2 linked regions of the Drosophila melanogaster genome follow. The protein of the gene in region 1 purifies or fractionates together with the protein of each later gene. This does not show direct contact. Each region holds a gene or a part of one and is shown in the gene's direction. Other genes may lie near its edges. The genes, in order: CG3224 and CG17768.

Evidence for each region.
Region 2: the proteins of CG3224 (region 1) and CG17768 purify together in Drosophila melanogaster (affinity purification with mass spectrometry, with the first as the bait; one large-scale study listed by BioGRID). This does not show direct contact.

Annotation. Positions count from the first base shown.
Region 1 is NC_004354.4:6,659,813-6,663,241, reverse strand, and holds CG3224 (uncharacterized protein), read left to right. Parts: upstream 1-1,779; 5' UTR 1,780-1,888; intron 1,889-1,948; 5' UTR 1,949-2,069; coding exon 2,070-2,558; 3' UTR 2,559-2,690; downstream 2,691-3,429. UniProt on the Drosophila melanogaster protein: Involved in pre-60S ribosomal particles maturation by promoting the nuclear export of the 60S ribosome.
Region 2 is NT_033779.5:10,402,411-10,407,079, reverse strand, and holds CG17768 (uncharacterized protein), read left to right. Parts: upstream 1-1,876; 5' UTR 1,877-1,943; coding exon of another isoform or gene 1,944-2,251; intron 2,252-2,325; coding exon of another isoform or gene 2,326-2,469; intron 2,470-2,529; coding exon of another isoform or gene 2,530-2,695; 5' UTR 2,696-3,084; coding exon 3,085-3,087; intron 3,088-3,147; coding exon 3,148-3,189; intron 3,190-3,251; coding exon 3,252-3,350; intron 3,351-3,523; coding exon 3,524-3,844; 3' UTR 3,845-3,883; downstream 3,884-4,669. Other genes in the region: Ir31a (ionotropic receptor 31a), read right to left, coding at 1-581, 643-1,127, 1,181-1,328; LSm-4 (uncharacterized protein), read left to right, coding at 1,944-2,251, 2,326-2,469, 2,530-2,695; Cnot4 (CCR4-NOT transcription complex subunit 4), read right to left, coding at 4,310-4,449, 4,518-4,669.

The DNA of each region.
Region 1 (3,429 bases):
TAACGCACTGGGACCAAACCGGTTGGACCTATTCACCTCTATCACTCTCGCTTTTATTCGCCTGCATTAGTAGCTTTGCCTTTACACAGAGAGAAAAGCATTTGTTACTCTTATCATGAAATAAACCATTATCACTAAATATTGTTTAAGATTTGTATATTTTCTAGTTCTATTTTGGGCAAGTAATAATGAATAATCTGCGTTTACCAGTAATATTTCTATTATGCTAAATGCTAAGACTCAGCGAAATAGCTAAGATATTTTGATATAAGTTTGAAAATGGAATTTCACGACGTGATGAAGTGTGATTCATTATTCATATTATATTAAAGAATTAAAATAAGAATTGAATTAAAATTTAATTTAGTTCCAAATATCAAGTGAAATTTAAACGATCTAGCAACGTAAACTTTTTTCTTTCTGTTTATTTGCATGGACAAATGGCATTAACCGTTGCTTCATCTCATCAGCTGATCTCCGCCAAGAGAGCCCCATCCTCTGCTCCTGCACACACACACACACTCACAATCGCACCAATTGCGAAATGTCAAATCGTGACCGACATGTATTGCAGCAACAAATGGGAGAGAAACGGCGAGAGTGCGTGTGTTTTTTTTCTATTGCAGGCCGGGGGAGCTATTATATCACATGTGTAAAGAAAAGAGAGTAGGAGAGAGTTTGTTGATCTGAATTCGAACATACATATATCACTCAACGCACGAACACAGATAGAGGGTTAATTGTGCTTGTAACGGTATAATTGACTGATAAGCGATTGGCACTGATAATCACAATCGGTATGCAATCGCTGATTATCGATAAGGACTCCTAAGCTTTGTTTTTAGTTTCGTTTATACTATTTCACGCATTTCGCGTTCTTTTTGTTGTTGTTGTACTTACTGCAATTGGCGGGCAATTGGCTCGAGTTGTAACAATCTACAATGTATGTATGTATGTATGCTGTAACACCGGTTTAAGTGACGAACTCAACGGAATGTCTAGCTAAAAACAGAGAGTCAACGAAAAATGCCAATAAGCCAACAGTCGTACATTTTAAACAATGCATGCAGCTGCCGTTGACACCCACCCAACCCCCTGCACCAGTCATTTAACAACAATCACAGTTTCTGATTTTATTTTGTGCTTCGTTGTTGCTTTTTGCGCTAAATCACACACGCACACACACTCACTGCAAACGCTGAGCTTTTGAAGCAAGCGAGATAGCAAGAGTGGACCGGCTGCAGCATCTTATGAAAAATAATAATTGCTTTAATCGTTTTTGCAAGTGTAAAACCCGATCTATTTCACAGTGTTGTTATCCAATCACACATGTGTGTGTGCGTCCAGCCCACACACCCACTATTTGTATTATCAATTGCACTTTATCAACGCAAGTTAAACCGAACTCTATGTTTATGTATTCAAATGTTAGGGGCTTACTTTACTTCCTGCGGCAAGGAAATAAATAATATTAAAACAAAATGCGCACGGTCCGCCCGCAGACAACTTGTTCGCACGATTGTTGATGAATTAATTGCAAGCATATGTTTTTTTATTTAACAGTGCGCTGCCTACGAAAAGGCACTAAATAATGCCAAAAAATAGTATTGTAAAAGACGAAGTAGATGGAGTGCAGCTTAAAAATGAGTAACTTATACAACTTATTGTCGCAACAAGTAGCTAATTTATGGAATTTTAGTTTAATTAGTTTTGGTTGAATTTAGTTTTATTTCGAATAAATAAAAACAGCTGTGTATCAGTGTGCACACACCACGATTTCTTCAGTTATCGATAAGAAACCAATCGGCCGGGGACCGTCGCCAACATTCTATGTGCGCATTAAATTAACTTGTTACCTTTAAAACCCTCGTTTCTTAACCAAAAAAAGGTAAAGTTAAGCAACAAATTACTGTAACAGTATATAAATTAACATTCAAATGCATTACAGGTTTTAGGAAACACCTAGCAGCAGCAGCAGAATCTAAAACCCCATTGGCAACCAAAACACGTGCCAAAACAAACGATTAAATTTTCCGTAAAAGTTGTAAATATAAAAAAAAGTCAGCAAGATGGGAATGGTATCGAAACGCAAGAAGATGCACTATGGCGATACCCATCTGCAGAGGAGATGGCGTGTGCGGAATCGACGTCGTGATCTCGACCAGATCGACGACGATCTGCAGACCCGGAGCGGTGAACTGATCAATCAGAATGTGGATCTCGACAAGCCGGGATTCGCGCAGTTCTACTGCGTGCACTGTGCCAAGTACTTCATCGATGACACCGCCATGCAGGCACATTTCCGCACCAAGGTGCACAAGAGGCGTCTCAAGGCCCTAGAGATCGAGCCGTACAGCATCGAGGAGGCGGAACGCGCCGCGGGACGTGGCAGCTTCGTGAAGCCCAAGAAGCGGGCGATGGAAACGCAGCCATCGAAGGAGGACGTGGTCGCTGGCAAGAGGATCCGAGTGGAAGTGGTGCCCGAGGATACAGATGCCACCGATTCGCCATCGACGTCCAAAACGAAGCGCAAGAAAGTCGAGAAAATGGAGACATAGGCGAGGAGGATGAACCAATCTATTGATCTAGCTTAGTTTTTAAGGCCCTCGGGGACAGGACTTTCTTCACCCCCCTCCCACAGAACTCTGTTTACCTCCAATTGCTTTCTTTAAATACATTTTTTTTCCAACATATATAAATCGATTCAAAATTAATTTTCATTTAATGCGCGCAAGGGTGGCGAAAGATCAACAAGCTTCTAAACAACAAGCAGTTCAACGCTTCCAAGCGGCAAAGCTTTATTTACCGTTCTTTTGATTTCTCTCCTGCAGCTCAAAAGTTCAAGTTCTCTCCGCAAGCGGTCACTTTCTTCGTCCGTGAGCAGCGGTAAACACAAAATGCGATGGCTGACGCGCTTTAAAATTAAAATTAAATAAATATCAGCGTCGTTTGCTGTCGAAAAGTGCTACAAAGTGTAATTAACCAGTGAGCGCAGGTCGACGCAATGCGTTTGATACGGTATTTCTAGTTTAAACGGGTGAAATTGGTAAATTTCTGCAATTTCCTCATTCTCCTTTGGGCTCATTCTCCGTTGGCGCGTGTGTGGGTGTGTTGGTGCGTGTTCAACTGGCATTCTCATGTGCACTTAAGAGTATGCTACGTTTTAGAGCGGTGATCTTGTGCATTTTGCCATCGCGAGTGTTTTGTTGTGAAATGGCTCATCAAAATGTGAGAGTATTTGTGTTTTTTTTTATATTTTTTTTTAGGTGATTTGTGCTCAATAAATGTGAAATTAAATAATGTACAACTTTAATTGCATGGATTTATTTTGAAAAGGGTGAGTCATTTAAATTTACACTTTAATTTTATGAGTCCTATATTTGCAACTGAAATATAATGAATAATTTAACGTACGGTAACAACAATATG
Region 2 (4,669 bases), on another chromosome or scaffold:
CAGGCTCCAAATGTCTGTAAAATTCGTTCAATGCATGTGGTCTTAATGCAAATCACCGAACTTTTCTGATTTAAATGTTCCAGCTTTTGACTATTAACTCGTATACGCAATATCTTGTAGTCGATAATTTCAAATAGCACCCAAATGATGCTAAAAGCACCAAGGGTTAATAGACAGAACAACCAAACTCTGTCGCTGAATGGCGACAGAAAGTTACCACTTTTTCCATGAGTATCCAAATCGGAAGTGTAGCGGTATAGAAAAGCTGTCTCAAATTTCCAACTTTGGTGTATGGTATCAAACTCAGCAAAGCGATTAATTCGATTGAAGGCACCGGATGCGGCTATATCTGCCTCATTTCGCATAACTATTCCCAAGAGTCCAAGTCGAAAGGTAGTATTGCCCAAACGTCCAGCCCATCCTCTAGAATTTCGGAAGTTAACAGTGAAATTGAAACGTTCTCTCAGAAGTCCCAGAAGCTCGTAGTGATACTTTATGAATGCAGCCACTCCAGCATCCTTAGTTGGTCGCGAAAGTATTGATTCAATTTGTTCATTTGAGATTATATCCTCCTTGTCGATCTAGTATCCATAATTGAAATGGCTAAAATCTAATGAGTTATAGTACTTATTCATTACTTACAACACTTGCTCCTCTTAGAGTTAATCCATTAAATTGTCCGCGAAAATCAATACTTTGCAAATGGAAAATATCGCGAGCTATATTCAATGTATCGTTTATCAATGTTGCTATTAAATTTATTTCCAAATTCGACTTCAAGTGTCGTCCTTTCGAATGAATATCCCAGTACGCATAACCATCTGCGGTTTCATTAACATAGGTTATCTGGGCGTTGGGACCAACATAGTTGAGATTTAAAGGAAATAGGGATTGAACCTCGAGATCAACACCCCAGAGAAACCACTGATAGGTTTTGTTGAAATACCTATTTTCAGAGGCTTCAAAAAGAAGTTCAGATGATCCACTGCATCTGGCATTTACCATCACAGAAGTTCGAGCGTAATTTTCCCGAGTCAATATCGATGTTAGTGAATAACTTTGGTTAAGGTTAACTACGCTCACAAATTGATTAATTCGCATCAATGCAAGAGAGATTTCTTTAAAATCTATCAATAAATATATTATGAATACCTTTATTGTAACTTAGCACATTGCTTACCTTTAAATAAACACGAAAACACTATTGCTTGCTTGGTTTTTACTAGACTTTTAACGAAATTAGTTACAACGGATTCTTCCATACTCGGAATTATTTCACCCTCGCCTGCAGCTAGTATTAAAATAAACATACTGATTAAGAGATTCATTTTACTATTGTTTATCCTGCTGGGAATGTTGTGCCATTTTATAGTAAGGTCTTCTGTTTGATTGACAGCATGAATTGCAGGTGCTAATTACCCATTCTAATTTCAATTGGTTCATAATTTACTATGCAGCTTCTATACCCTCTAATCAGAAATAATTTAATTGATTTAAAGTGTAGCTTTGATTGACAGGTAAAATTGGATCATAAATTTTTAATGAGAAAGTAAACTTCTCCCAACACTTATGGCAAAACTAAACCAGTTAGTAGTAATTTAAACAAAATTCAAGTGGGTAATAACATATGTAAATATTTCTTTAATAAACAACCGAATTATTGAAAATCTTTACCAAAACGGGTAACCTAATTGCAGTAAATTTTAAAACGCCAAAATAACATGTTTAGTTTCTTATTTTATTAAGGCTAATATCAAAAATCATAGCTAGAGTTTTTTTCTTTTTAATTTAATTTATGCAAATAATCCATTTCTGTTAATTAAAAACAAAAAAACAGTACGATTAATATCGATTGTGAGCATCGAATATCAAAATAACTCATATCGAAGACGTAGCATTTCTAGTTTGTTTATGTTTTTGTACAAAATTTATGAGTATGCAATATGTCGTCTACGTTTAGATATAATCTATTAAGGAGTGTAAAGCCATACACTTCATTCACTCCGCAATTGACTAAGTCTATGTTGCGTGTCCTTATTCAAGTGTCTGTGCACTACATTGAATCAAAGAAGTCTTCGTCGGAAGTGCTTTCCCTGGCACTAAATAAACTAACAAATGGAGGTCACGAAATCCCTCCGAACTTTTGTGAACTTTTTACAATGGTTTTCTTGACAATGCAAATCTTTTTAAGATATCCCAAGGGCGTGGTGAAGCATCATGAGCTGCGAAAATGTTTAATGGACGATTTAAAGTAAGTATTCAAATGCATACGTACTTGGAAAACTTGACCGTCACTAACATAATTGTTATTTATCTCGTCAATAGTTTAACAGAAGAATATGTTGAAGATATCTGCAAAGTTTTGCTTAACCATCGAGACGTACTGAGCAAGAACTTTTCAGATACTAAAATGGACCGTGTCAAAATGTCAAAGTTGCAATGGAGAATCAACATTTCCTTATCATTAAAGTAAGTATTTAACCTTACCGCTATTTTATTTTTACTTCACTTTACTAATTTATTTTCTAGTACCGTGCAAATTGATAAACCTACAATAGTCCTCCACTTCAAGCTCCAAAATAAGGAATATCGAACTTTAGAATTGCCACTGTCCATGTTTCAACAAGTGCGCTATAATATTGCTCTCTTACTAAATGAATTGCAGTCATTGCAAAGCCGGTTGGCTTTAAAATAAGTTACATGTTTTTTTTATCCATTTGGTGAAGTATTTAATCCGACTGTCCCGCCGACTGTCCTTTTTGCCATACTCAATCTAGCGCCTTAAAGCCGCCAAGGCGGTCACGCCCACACTTTCAAAACAATTTTAAAATCTTTTCTCCCTATTATTATCCCAGAAAAAGGATGAAATTTACACTAGCTGAGTAACGGGTATCTGACAGTCGGGGAAGTCTACTATAGCATTCTCTCTTGGTTACCATTTAAAATTATGTTATAAGAAATCAAAAAAAAACAGAACACGCTATCTTTATAAGCATGTGTTTCATATTCATTTCGTTCCAACAAAGTGATTGACATCTCTTCCGATTTCATGTTATCGCTGTATTAATCGATTACTTCACGAAAATGGTAAGCAATATTATTTTATGGTAAATAAAGAGAAAAATGATTAATTTTCATGTGTTTTAGCTGCCACTTTCACTTTTAAAAACAGCACAGAGCCATCCCATGGTAAGATGTTTGGATTTGCACACATTAGTCATACACATAATTGTTTAATCTAATTCACTTAGTTGGTGGAGCTGAAAAATGGTGAAACATACAATGGTCACCTGGTTAGTTGCGACTCGTGGATGAATATTAATCTGCGCGATGTTATTTGCACCTCAAAGGTAATATTTTAATTAAATATGTATGTATATGTAATTAATATGTAGATTGCCGGTGTGCAAAATATGCGACAACTGGTATATACATAAATACAATCGCATTGATTTGTAAACAGCCGGAAAAATGATAACATGAAGAGCTTGTTTATACCAATATGTGTATGTGTACTTTGCAGGATGGCGATCGGTTTTGGCGCATGCCCGAATGTTATATCCGCGGGAGCACCATCAAATATCTGCGAATCCCCGACGAAGTAATCGACATGGTCAAGGAGGACGCGCAGGCCAAGTCAAGGAATCGCACAGAGATGAACAAAAACCGCGGCGGCAACTCGTCGCAAAATCAGCGCGGCGGACGTCCTGGTGGCGGCAACCGCAACAATGTCGGCAATCGTCCCGGCCAGGGATACGGAGGTGCTGCTAACAACGCGATGCGCCTGGGTGGCGCTGCTGGCCAAGGGAACCGTCTGCCCCACGCCGCCAAAAATAGGAAATAGTTCTTCGGATCGTAGTAATAAATTCTTTTCAACCATTTCAAGTCACGTATTTATTATTAAAAAGTTGACATTTTTACACAGTCTCGATAATTTCACATCACGAGGTTTTCTTTGCTACTTATTGCCATGGTAATCTGTCTTTTATCCAGCGAGCAATTGGAATGAGTTGGTTTCAAGTTTGAAAAATCACTGGGGGCTTCACTATTGCCAAGCAGACTACACCCTGAACGGGGTTTATTGGATACTATAATTGGATTCATGCGGACACGTCCGGCGCGGGGAGACGGCATCCAAGTGTTTCGCTTGCTGCACAAATGCTTTTAGTAGGCTGAATTTCACTGGACCGTCTGTTTGTTTGTATCATGTAGTTTCATTATATTCGAATTTTATTTTGCCTATATTTACTTTAAGAAATATTTAATAAAGAGTACAGGTAAACAAATGTATTATTTATATGTATTGTAGCTAAACGAATTGACGGCTTTTTAAAAACTCAAGCATGCCCTGAACATTGGCATTGACCTGTGGCGGCTGCGTTTGTTGTCCGTTCAGCAAACTATTGGGCATCCCCATAGGAAGCATTTGCTGTGCCTGGTTGTTGAAACCTGCAAGTACACAATCCGATGCATTTTAATCGACTGTTGATATGTAAACTCTTGGTTGCCCCACTTACCACCACTCTGGGAATTTTGCTGTTGAGCCAAATGCTGCAAAAATAAATCCTGTTGCTGCTGAGGATGTGGGGGAATTTGGTTTTGTGGAAAAGAAGAATACTGTCTAAACGAAAGTATAGCCGGATCCATTGAAGTCCAATCACTGTTGTTG